Arabidopsis thaliana: one gene and its partner. The protein of the gene in region 2 interacts with the protein of the main gene of each other region in a pairwise test. Each region holds a gene or a part of one and is shown on either strand. Other genes may lie near its edges.

Region 1 (6,763 bases), about 25 Mb from region 2:
GTGTTGTCATGGAAGCAAAACCTCAACTAGTAGGAATCCATGAGAGAGTAAGAAACGATATTGATGCACCCCCATCTTCAGAGAGTGGTGAAAAGCGGATATCTACTGCAACCAATCCTAATGCAGAAGAATCTGCAGATCTCTTGAGGTATGAATAACCCTTGCCCTCTTCTTCATTCTTTAGTATAAATTTGCACAATGTGAGCTTGATTAGGATTTCTATGATGAGTTTAGGATGTGTGTGCAATGCGGTGTACCGAAAACATATACAAGCGCAAGAGGAATGGTATGCCCGATTTGTGGTGACCGGCCATTACCGGACGTAGACGCGAAGAAGAAAGGCTCTACGATCAAAGATAAAGAGAAGAGCAAAAGAATGAGAGGACAATCTTCTCACGCTTCTTGGAAAAGTGAAACCGAGATGCAGCTTAGGCAAACTTTCGATTAGTGTTTCTTTTACCTTTTACTACATTTGTACCATCCAAATCCAATTTCTGTAACGTAGCTTGTGACACAAAGGTTAATCTTATAATTTGCTTCGGAATGTCTAATTTCATCATTATTGAAATATATATATTTATGAGATCATCAAATATTTATTGGAAAATAAAACCCTAAAATTCGCTATTTTGAAAAAAAGAGAGTAAATACACAGCAGAATATTTTATCGCATTACAAAACGAACTAACATCTTTATCTACAGAATTGCTATGTCTCTACTTCTTCCTCTACTTAACAACTTGAACAGATTACAAAGGTAAAGAACATATCTTAAAGACCTGGTTCGAGCAACCAGGTGTACAATCAGGTTCGAGCAACCAGGTGTACAATCAGGTTCGAACCGAAATCTAGACCAGAAAGTTATCTCAACACATAAATACAACTGTGTTACAAAATCCATGATTCTAATGAAGAAGCAGTCAGGATTTTAGTAACTAACCTGAGCAATTTCGCTTAGCCAAAATCGAGATTAGTGTTAACAACAATATCTCGAATGCTTCAGCAATGAAAGAGCCAGTTTTATTTGACATCATTAATTGTTGTCACTTGTTACAACTTCTGCTTCGGGTCTAAGTTCTGTAGTTTCCTCTTGTTTCTCTATCCTCAGGCTCGGACTACTATTGGGCTGAGGAATCTGTGTAGATAGTGATGGGTAAAATGAGGCACTGTGTTTTGCACATTAAATGGCGGTGTAAGAATCGAAGGTTTAACTTACCATTGGATGAGATTTATAAGACAGAACATTGTTATCGGATGAAAGAGATGAGTCTGAGGGCCTGTGAAACAGCAAATGAGCTATCGATCGATCTATCGGGTTTGTATCAGTTTCGATATCCATGAATCCAGCATACCTGGATGAGACCACATACAGATATCAAAGATTAGAATCTAAGAGAAATGAAGGACGAGTACAAGAGCCCAAGTGGAAGTTTCTAAAGAAGAGAGTTACTAAATCTGTCAAGACTCGAGTCTAATCCTATATAAAGTTATAAGTTGGCATCAAGAACTTTACTTAGCAACAGGTGATAAAGGGTGAACATATTGAATAATTATGTAGGATGTGGTGCTTACTTGTCTGCTTCACCAGTCACGAGATGCGAGCCTGCGCCTTTCTCCGGTCTGTTTCCACCATGATGTCTCTGTTCCGCACTTTTTGCTAATCGGTATAAGCTGTCTCTTATGCAAAGCTTTGTCCTAACATCCAACTGGAGCAAGCAAGTGTATTATCAACCAAGTAAGCAAATGTATATGTAAATTTATTAACATATATACACTTTGATATCAATCACAAAGGAACAGCAAACTTTTACCGATTCCCAGGAAGCCTTTTCCTTATATCAACAATTATCTATTGACAAGTTGTACCTGTTCTATAACTTGTTGAAGCTGGCGAAAACTTGTTGCTTCCAGTGAAATGTCATCCACAACAGAGCTAACACAAGAACTTCCCTGCATATTTGATGTTTCCAATTCAGTTGCAGCTTTTCTGTGGTCATTCTCAAGCCCAATCTTCTGGATAGGAGCAGCATCAGGAAACACCATGGAGTCTGTCTTACTACTCTTCTTGGTATTTGCAGCAAAAGAAGGAGGCATATCTTGCCCAGGCAGCAAGTTGGCTCTCGTTTCAAAGACCTTCCTAAACCGATCATCAACAGTTGGACCTTGTAAGCTCTCGATTGATTGTGCATGATTTGATGTGTATGACTCATTTGAAGCAGAGGAAGGACTGGGTTTGTTCTCAGATTTAATACCAGATTTACTTTCACATGCTGATACTTGAACGGAAGGCTGCTCACAATTGAAATGCGAGTATGGCACATCTCGCTGTTGGAATGCGGAGGGAGGGTAATACTGGTTGGTATCCATTATTTCCCTTGAAATACCACTGTGCTGTAAAGTAAAACTGTTCTCCGAGAACCCATCACTTTTCCCATCCAGATGATGAAGATGATCAGTCTGCTTCTTCTCAAGATTTGCCTGTATAACAAAAATTTGTACTGATATGAAATTGCTGGAATAGTGTCAAGATTTCAACAGTACAAATACTTATCTAATAGAATATCCACTTGCCCTTAACGAAACCATAAACCACCATTGTAAAAAGCGTCATATCATAGTTAGAGGATTTAACTGAGGAAAACGTGCAACTAAATAAGTCATCATAGAAGGTAACATCCCATGTAGTTAATGGTTGCATGTGCCTTGGAAGGCGCAAACAATTCTGAAATAAGAAATTGACTAACCTCTACATCCAGCATCAATATATCCTTCTTTTGCAAACTTGTATCGAATACATTTTGTGATGATTTTCCTTGAGCTGAATCGTCCTCAATAGTATATCCATACTCATCTTCAACAGCATGGTTGGGCTCACTGTTGTTCAAAAAGTCTTCAACCTGCAACATAGCGGTTCTTTGATTTTCCAACATTTTGTCTGGTTTGAGATCATCTGTCATCGCGCCTGCTGTCTCCTCATTTGGCTGGGCAGAAGAGAACCACCCTAAGTCACCTTCATTATTAAGACTATCCAAGCCGAATGTTGAATCACAACTCCTGTGCGTCCAATAAACGAGTGTAGGCTCAGACAAATGTTACCATGTTTCTCCCATAAGCAATGATCCCCAATGTGATAAGAATATATAGAAAAGAGAATATCTAAAATGTTACCTAAGCATGTTGTCCACATCCTCAAAATTTCCTATGTCACCCCAGCCATAGAAGAGATCATTTTTTTCTTTATCTCCATTGTCGAAAAAGCTAAGATCATTTTCAGCATCCGGAATGCTGTTGAGGGAATAATTATATACGCCATCATTCGTTGCAGCGGAAGTGTCACACAACATGGGATCCCCAGTGGAGAAATTTTCAACCACATCTACGTGGCCACCATTGAAACCATGATCTGAAGTATTTGTATCCTCCAATGTCATATCCTGAACATCTTTTCCTGTTCCCGTATCACGAGAAACCGAAGAGCCACCACTATCTTTCTCAGGCCATGGATTTTTTCCTAACATGTTTGCCTCTCTCTTGATAAAAGTATTACTCTTTAGATGGTTTGTTCCACTACCCATATCATCATTTCTTCGTTTCTTCCTGTTACTAACTAGAATTGGAAACTGACCTCCATCCTCATACGCTGAGTCTGGCACTATACCATCATCGTTCCCATGAAATTCATCCGAAAGATAATCGCCTAGCTGAAAGGAAAAGAAAGGAAAGAAAACTTCAGCCACCAATTAGAAATCCACATTACCAAGTCAAAGAAAAAAATGACTAGGGAAACATCAAACCGAGTAGACTAACAAAGTATCCCCAATCCTGCACAGAACACATCCAAGTGGTAGCGATAACAAGAAGTAAAATATGAGATGCAAGAACTGTCCTATATTTTAAACGATTTTGAACCCAATAAAAAAAGGAAATTTCACAACAGTTCATTTTCCGGGAACATACGACAAGAGCAACAACGAAAGATCTAAATCCATAGTCTCATAGAAAAAAGATACACACACATATATGATTGTGACTCCACTCACCTCATGAATGTACAAGTCCGACATTCCTCCCAACTTCAGACTCTTTAATCACCACTAAAATCATGCACATTACCCCGATATGTCATCTCTATTGCAAAACATGTAACTCCCACAAACACTATTTCTGGTTCTGGATAGGAAATATAAATATATTAAACAGCTTCCAATAATAGAGAAATCGAACCCAGCATATAAGAAAACTTGACTTTTCTTATCCAGAATCAAATCCCATGAAACCCGAAATACATGTAATCCAAACCCTAAGAGTTAACCCATTCTTTCAACTATTCATGAATTCCAGAAATTAGACTCAAATTCTACAGCCAAAAAGTCAAATCTCATAGCAAGTAGCACAAAAACAAAGTAGGAGAAAAATCAGATAGTAGGATTCAACCATTTTATGCTCGTAATTTCTAGCAAAATCGAGTTAAACTATCATTATTAAACCGAGAGTTTACAAAAACAACTAAAATCCAGTGAAATGAGGCATTCAATGAAACTAACTGCAACAAAAAAAAAAACAATCAAATCTGAGAAATCCTCAGCTACCGCTGCTATGGAAACACTGAGGATAAGAACCAAATTTTCTAATTAAATTCAATCGAAATAGATTCCATCAAAGCCGAACGAAATAAGCTCACCTGTGAGACAGATTCTTCCACTAGCAACTCCAGAAAACTCCACAGATAAAATTGTTTACCAGAAAACAAAAAACTCAGCAGATAGAAGAGATTGTATCAATTCATCGAAGCTAGATCGAAAAAAAAAACTGTGTAGGACTTTCTAGAGATGTTCGGCAGAAGACGATGAAGGCTTCCTATTTTTTTTTTTTTGACAAACATTTTAAATTTTAATTAAACTATTGTTTTTGTTTCGGGAGAATCAAAAGACAAGTGACCATGATATCAACACGTGGCAACTAAATCAAAAGGTTTAACAGGCTTGGGTTTTTAATATCAGAATTCGTGGACGAGAGAGCAGTGTGAGATCCTATCAGTTCCAGTTTTATTATTGGTACACGTCATTAGTACCTTCTCGAAACTGGGCACGCCTCATCTTCTTATTGGCTTACATCGTAATGATGACATCAGCCTTTATTTACGTATAACAAATTACCATGCGGTTAAAAAAAACAATAGTTATATGGGCCGAAGAAAGCCCAAAGAATCTTTAGTTGTTTTTCCGATCGATCTGCGAGTCGAGTAGTTTTTTTATTTGCCGGCGCCGGGAGAGATCCTTTGATCTTTTTCCGATGGAGGAGCAATTCGGCGGGAGCGATGAGAGATGGAAAGGATCATTGGAGAATATAACGGAGATGGCATCGAATCTCGATTCGCTTCAGAAACTTCTCCTCAAGAAAGCAGTCTTCGTTGAAGAAGACACTTTCTCTAGAGCTTCTCTCGTCTCCGAGCAAGCCCGAACAATCAAGGTTAATCCTTTTTCCTGTGATAAAATTTGAAATTATAGAGCTTAATTGTCTGAATTTTGAGCTTCTTTTCTTTGACTTTGATGATTGCTTCTGTGATTTGTGGATTCGATCTAGTTGATCACGATCGCACTTTTTAGTTTGCTTTAGTACTACTATAGCTCAGTGTAATAGTGTGATTCTGGAATTGCATTTGACGGTGAATTTGGGAACTTGTAGTTGATCATAAATTTTGAATCTTCGATTTTGTGATCTGTTAATGGTACAAATGATCACCAAATCCTTGAAGACTGGACTTGAGGTTTCACTATGAAAACTCCCAAGTGCAATTATGTGTATTAAGTAGAAATTCTTCATGTTGTAAGTAAAAAAGGACTGTGTTACATGTTTGAGATAAGGGATAGTTTCAGATTGTCTCTTAACTCTGTTCAATGGTTTGTTTTAGGTTCTTGAGCAAAGAGTACAAACACTAGAAAGAGAACTAGATGCTGCCATTACAGCTGCTGCTCATGCTCGGTCTGAGAAACGCCAAGCTGAGTCCTCTCAAAAGGCTGCTGAATCACGTGCCCAAGATGTCACAAAAGAGCTTGAAAACACCACAAGTATGCACTTGATAATCACTTCTTGAGTTGATGCCTGGTGGCACCATTCTCTCCCGCACGTTTATCTGCGTTCCAGTTTCATATTCACTCTCACTCACTGACTTATACAACTCTTGGTTTCAGAGGTTTTCAAGCTGCATATGGAAGAGCTTCGAGGAATGCAAGAACAGATATCCAAACGCGATAACGAGATCAAACTCTTAGAAGCTATAATCCAAACGCTCGGCGGCAAAGAGCGGTTGGGAAAAAGCGACGTGAATGGATGATGATGATGCGTTTTTTCACTTGTAAAGGTTTGTACTCCTGAGTTTGTGGAGATGTATCACTTCGAAGATAAATGTATTTTTGTCTGTCTATTTGGTACGTTTTAGAATCTTGCCTGTTCTTTCAAGAAATGAATGTTACATGGGCCTGACCCTATAAATGGGCCTAATGTGAATCGATCGATACTAAAAATGGGTTTTATAGGTGTGTGTGTGTGGTTTTCACACGTTTGCCGCCGATAGTGCTGCGATGCCATCCAGATTCAGTAACGCGGCATCTCCAGGACTCCAGCCGTGTGGAGCAAGAAACTACGTAAATTTGACAGCTGAAGATGCAATTTCACAAAAAGAGAATAAAAGAAACAAAAGAGGATTATGACCAATTTAGAAAAAACTTTTTTCAAAAAAGTGATGCTTCATGGTTTTTAGCGT
Region 2 (5,851 bases):
TTGGCACATGCACTGATTAATGATGACCATGTATGAGTATTTGGGGTTACACCAACAGATTTCATATCATCTTTGACTTTGAGTGCCCATTTCCACATCTTTGCATCTGCAAAAACCTGATCTTAAGACATTATTCAGAGACTTAGGGATATAAAAGCAAAAACTAATGATAAACTTAGTTTTCCAAAAATACTGATATTGTACCTTTATAATAGTACAATATGTAAAGGCGTCCAACTTCAACAATCCGGAAGATTCCATTCGTTTTGCTTCTTTGTATATATCCTGGGCAAGATCAACCCGTCCAGCCAGGCAACATGTTTTCAGTAGTATGTTGTAGGATGTCATGTCAGCTGTAACATCAAGTATCTGCCCATGACATGTAGAGTTTCAAGGTCAGTCCACACCCACTCCTAAATCTAAAATACTCTCTAGACAATTCAAATACTTGTATTCAAGAGACAGAAGAAAGAACATACCTGCATATTCTTGTATACTTTTAGTGTGTACCCAAGATCATGGGAATTAACATTCATTAGACTGTTAATAACATAAATATTTGGCTTAATGTTTTCTTTGAGAAGATCCTGCCACAAAATTATGAATTAACTACAAATCTCAAATGCAGGATGGCAGACAAAATCGAGCGTAAAGGATACTTACGCAAAAATACAGTATAATTAGGGAATTACCTCATATATGTACCTCGATTTAACGTAATCACCACACAGGCCACAAACATCTATCATCGTTCGGCATATATACATGTTAGGAGTATCCAAAATCTGTTTGCAGGCTTCATATGCTGTCATAACAGAGACCATATCTCCTTTCTTTCCGAAACCATGAATAATTCTACAAAGCAATAACTCTGTATGCGGCAAAAGACATGCGTATCTGCATTCAATAATCATCAAATCGTTAGCAGAACACACTACATCCAGCATTCTTGTAATAACTTTCTGAATTTGAAAACCATTAACCTGAATCGTTATGTGGGAAACAAGGCTTACCTAATAGCTAATTGAGGATTGGAAATTTCAACACAACTCTTTACAACATCAAAAGGATCCACCAACTCTTTGATTTTGAATCCGAGACCTGAAATAAGAAGCAGGTAATCAATTCAAGAGTTCATAGTCACAGTGTAACAGCAAGAATTGATATAGTATTTACCGGCAAGTATCTCCATTAGATCAATAGCTTTCTCCACTTGCACAGAGTTAGCCATTGCTCGAAACTGTTTCCTCATTAATTTCACAGACGAATCATCGACAAGGTCCAATGGAGCAATTCCTACCTTCTCAATTCTCTTCAAAGTGTAAACGACGCTCTCAATCTTACCTTGTCGAAGATTCGACGAAATCCCTTTCGATAAGAGATCATAATCAACCATGGAAGCGAAACGAGCCACATTAGCTCCGGACTCTGCAGCCAAAGTCTCGGCGATGAGAGCGACGTCCTCAATTCGACCATCCTCAGCTAGCTTCGAGGCAAAATCAGCGTAATACTCAAGCGAGCCATCTGGAATCCATCTTACGACATTGGAGAAGTGGCTAGAGAGAGAATGAGTCGCGGAGACTGAAGCAGGAGAAGGTGAATGTTGCTGCGGTAGTGACGGAAGTAGCTTGGTGAAAGAAGAATTGGATTTAGTTTTCCGGTTGGACTCTGGTGCTGTGGCGTAACAGCGACGGTGGTGATGGTGAGGATTGGTTATGGCGGAGGAGGAGCCAAAGACAATAACAAAGTCTCTCATTCCTCGCCAACGGTTAGGATCATCATCGTATCATCATTGTGGCTCAGTTTTTCTGGTTTTCTAATTTCATGTAAATCAAATGGATTGGATTTGAAAGGCTATTTTTACAACTTCCACACCGGACCGGATTTGTAGTGTTAAAATACACCGGTATATATAAACCGATTTGGTACTTTGATTTTAAATTTTAAGAAATAAAATAAGAAAAAGGAGAAAAATGGATGGCCTGAAATTGCAAGCGAAGCGTCTCCACATATTATACACCAACTTCTTGCCCGCCATGTGGATATCGTCGTCATTTCTCTCTCTAACCCCTTCTCTCTTCAGTCTCTCTCTCTCTAGACGATCTCTATCTTGAATAAAATACCGATAATGACCTCAACCAATCCGGTGGTCGCCGAAGTAATACCGGCGGAAACTTCTACAGATGCTACAGAGACGACGATTGCAACGACGGAAGCTGGTGAAGCACCGGAGAAGAAGGTGAGGAAAGCTTACACAATCACCAAGTCTAGAGAGAGTTGGACTGAAGGAGAACACGACAAGTTTCTGGAAGCTCTTCAATTGTAATTTTACCGCGCTCTTTTTTTCTTCCACCAGCTATTTGATTGACTGATTCTTTGTGTTTCGAGCTCTAATTTATAGCTGAATTTTGCGTAATTTCGCGTAATTTCTACTTAATTTGCTTAATCAGATCGAAGTTTGGTTATGTGGTAGATCATCTGGAGTTTTGCGTATGCAATTGGATTTTGCAGAAGCAACAATGTCTTCTTTGATTTGTTAGGTTGGATTGTATATTCGATAGATCAGAATTTATATTAATCGCTGATGAATGTTTCTTCTCATAAAACCGAAGTATGGTTTAAGCTTATCTTAGGTTGCCAAAATGATTGAGTAGAGGACTTGGCATCTGGTTTCTGCATAAATAGTGGTATTTTGCAGAAGTCGTATCTTTCTTTATTAAAAATGTTTAACATGAGAACTGAAAAAACTTACTACAAGTCAGCTTTTAGAGCTATGCATGAAACCAATTTCCAACTACAGTCCTAAACTACAATTCAGATTTTGGTAATGGTTCGTTACTTCCACATATTACATTGCTCTTTTGTGTGTGTGAAAGGCTTCTCTCTCTTTTAGAAAAAAGAATCTTACTTTGTCCTGACAATTTTCTCGTGTCCTTAGGTTTGATCGTGACTGGAAAAAGATAGAAGATTTTGTTGGTTCAAAGACAGTTATTCAGGTTTGAGATCAGCTTCTTTGGATTTTTGGTTTAATATACAACCTTGGCACATTTCCCCACTCAATCATCCTGTGCCTGTTTGATTTACTGCAGATCAGGAGCCATGCCCAAAAATACTTTCTAAAGGTCCAAAAAAATGGGACTTTAGCACATGTTCCACCCCCTAGGCCTAAGCGCAAAGCTGCTCATCCATATCCTCAAAAGGCATCGAAAAATGGTTAGTTCTATTGTAATAGATATTACTTTGGGTTGACAGATGGAGTAACATGTAATCAATCTGATTTCAACTCAAATCTGCAGCTCAAATGTCGCTTCACGTTTCCATGTCCTTTCCTACTCAAATAAATAACCTGCCTGGATATACTCCATGGGATGATGATACATCTGCATTGTTAAACATTGCTGTAAGTGGGGTTATTCCACCAGAAGATGAACTTGATACTCTTTGTGGAGCAGAAGGCATGCGTTCTCATCTGTACTCAGTTTTTATATTTTGCTTTGGTAGTCTAGTCACTCTATCTTCTGAAGTTTTCATATGCTAAATGCGGCTTACATATCATTGTTTCAGTTGATGTTGGATCAAATGACATGATAAGTGAAACTAGTCCTTCAGCATCTGGTATCGGAAGCTCAAGCAGAACACTATCAGATTCTAAGGGTTTGAGACTGGCGAAACAAGCTCCCTCAATGCATGGTAATTATCTGAACAATTGAGGGACTATTTCTTAGTTTTCATTTTGTGGTGGACGCTGTTGTAATGGTTGCTTTGCAGGTCTTCCTGATTTTGCTGAGGTTTATAACTTCATTGGGAGTGTGTTCGATCCTGACAGCAAAGGCCGCATGAAAAAGCTCAAGGAAATGGATCCTATAAATTTCGAAACTGTGAGTTGGAGCTTTACTTGCCTTTAGATTAACTGATATGTGTGTTGCAGCATATCAATCATTTAGTCTTCTTCTTTGAGTTCCCGAATAAATTCAGCTGTGTGAGAAGATAAATATAAAGATCAGTACTTGCAATATATAGATTCACGAGTTGGAAACACCAAAAAGCCAAAGTACCATGATTCTATGGAGATGTTGGTCAAATAATGGGATTGTTACAACCATGAGTCAGTTTTAGGTGTCATGGTACCTATTTGTAGCTGTCAGTGATTGTTCTTTTTCCTAGTATCCGTCACTAATCACAGTTTTTCTTGCAGGTTTTGCTGTTGATGAGAAACCTCACAGTGAACTTGTCAAACCCTGACTTTGAACCTACTGTAAGTTATAATTTTATCATTACTTCTGTGCTCGTTGAGTATGTGAGGCACATTTGTCTTTTCGTGATAAGAATGAGTGAGAAAAAGTCTCTAACAGCTAACAAACCTACTTACTATCTGCCTTGAAGTTTAACTATAGAAATTAAGACTAGTTCGCCTTTAGTGTGTTATGTTTTTAACCGTTCCAATGATTAAATGAGGATTGTTGTGCTCTATGAGATATAATCTAACCATAATTTAGTCTGAATATGTTGATGCTGCAGAGGAAGGTCATGAACACTTAAGCTCTTAGCTGTTTGTGCACTCAACAAGTTATATATCTTCTTGACGACTTCTTGCTCGCAACAACTCTCTACCAGCTATCAAGTAAGTTTGGTGTTATACCGCATCCCTCCGACACCAATATAAAACACTATAATAAGAACGTTCGCATTGACTTAATAGATTATATCGAAACCTAACACCACAGTTCACTAAGGTTTTCACCTTAATGTTTCTCATTTGTTACTGTAGTTATTGTCTCACATGATCGAACGTCATAATAAGAATGATCTGTAGATCATAACTGTTATATTCTCAGCGTTGCTGCTATTATTCTGATTACACTACCCTTAAGGTCTTAAGAATATTGCTCTTACGGTCTACCAAATTGCTATTGATCTCTGTATATGGTGGATTGTGTCAGATGCATTCTACGGTTGTTGTCTGAGGAGAACATAACTGAGTCGTCGTCACAAACAAGAGGAACATATGCAGTTTCGGTCAGAACCAGTCGTGTGAATGGTAGATATATGTATGTGTGTGTAGAAAATGGTTACCAATTGTATCTTCTTTTTGATAATTATTTTTTCATGCCTTTTGTAATATGTAAGTTTCTTTACCTCGTTCTCTGATTGGTTATTTTCTGGTTATCTGTTTAACCAAAAGCTATGTAACACAGTAGCAAATTGTTACTTAACTCGGAAGTGAGATACATAACTCTGTTGTATTGCACTTGTATCAAGCGTTAACGTCCATGATTCGTCTCTGTTATTGTCAATAACAATTGTTCGAAAGCCAGGTTAATGGTAATTAGGAAATTGAACCGTATCGGTATGGTTTTAGCGGGTCTTTAGACTTTTCTAATTGATACTGAGGGTTTGCGAATTTTGTATAAACAGTTGAACACTAAACAGAGAAGAGAAGCTTCGTCTCTTTAATTATCTTCGATTTAAGAGATTCTTTCGCCGTCGGCGAAGATGCTACAGCATCAGATCGTACAATCTCCGGCGAGATTAGGGTTAACAGGTCCTGGCTCTCCTTCCGTACAAAATCCGACGCCTACTCGTCATGGCCATCCAACCTCTTCTTCATCTTCCCAATCTCAGCACCAACAGATCCAACAACAGCCTAATCTACTTCCTTCCTCCACCGTCGCCGCCGCTTCCTCAGCCTCAGCTTCGGCGGCTGTTTCATCCTCCGCCTTGCTATCGCTCCTTCCTCCATTACCGCGAGCTCAAGCTCTTCTCCAGCAGATGGCGGTTTTGACATCTAAGCTCTTCGACGTCTCTCCCAATCGAGCTATCTGGCTCTCAGCTTTCCGTGGCTCTCTCCCTT

What was found.
Region 1: the proteins of LCL1 (region 2) and AT5G64170 interact in a protein complementation assay, tested with the Arabidopsis thaliana proteins (one study listed by BioGRID).

What each region holds. Positions count from the first base shown.
Region 1 is NC_003076.8:25,671,871-25,678,633, forward strand, and holds AT5G64170 (dentin sialophosphoprotein-like protein), read right to left. Parts: upstream 4,954-6,763; 5' UTR 4,682-4,953; intron 4,171-4,681; 5' UTR 4,065-4,170; coding exon 4,041-4,064; intron 3,702-4,040; coding exon 3,169-3,701; intron 3,055-3,168; coding exon 2,745-3,054; intron 2,479-2,744; coding exon 1,867-2,478; intron 1,707-1,866; coding exon 1,573-1,706; intron 1,353-1,572; coding exon 1,217-1,352; intron 1,136-1,216; coding exon 1,034-1,135; 3' UTR 941-1,033; exon of another isoform or gene 849-940; 3' UTR 596-848; downstream 1-595. Other genes in the region: AT5G64160 (plant/protein), read left to right, coding at 1-148, 235-448; AT5G64180 (tropomyosin), read left to right, coding at 5,293-5,469, 5,912-6,068, 6,192-6,334. UniProt on the Arabidopsis thaliana protein: Transcriptional coactivator necessary for expression of the clock genes PRR5 and TOC1. Antagonizes REV8 function in the regulation of anthocyanin accumulation. Involved in red light input to the clock. Activates clock-controlled genes with afternoon peak.
Region 2 is NC_003076.8:646,666-652,516, forward strand, and holds LCL1 (LHY/CCA1-like 1), read left to right. Parts: upstream 1-1,982; 5' UTR 1,983-2,128; coding exon 2,129-2,322; intron 2,323-2,938; coding exon 2,939-2,996; intron 2,997-3,089; coding exon 3,090-3,213; intron 3,214-3,296; coding exon 3,297-3,455; intron 3,456-3,564; coding exon 3,565-3,690; intron 3,691-3,768; coding exon 3,769-3,878; coding exon of another isoform or gene 3,879-3,905; exon of another isoform or gene 3,906-4,020; coding exon of another isoform or gene 4,021-4,116; exon of another isoform or gene 4,117-4,190; intron 4,191-4,195; coding exon 4,196-4,255; intron 4,256-4,496; coding exon 4,497-4,547; 3' UTR 4,548-4,621; exon of another isoform or gene 4,622-4,940; 3' UTR 4,941-5,314; downstream 5,315-5,851. Other genes in the region: AT5G02830 (Tetratricopeptide repeat (TPR)-like superfamily protein), read right to left, coding at 1-116, 205-369, 480-587, 693-897, 1,014-1,101, 1,177-1,756; AT5G02850 (hydroxyproline-rich glycoprotein family protein), read left to right, coding at 5,494-5,851.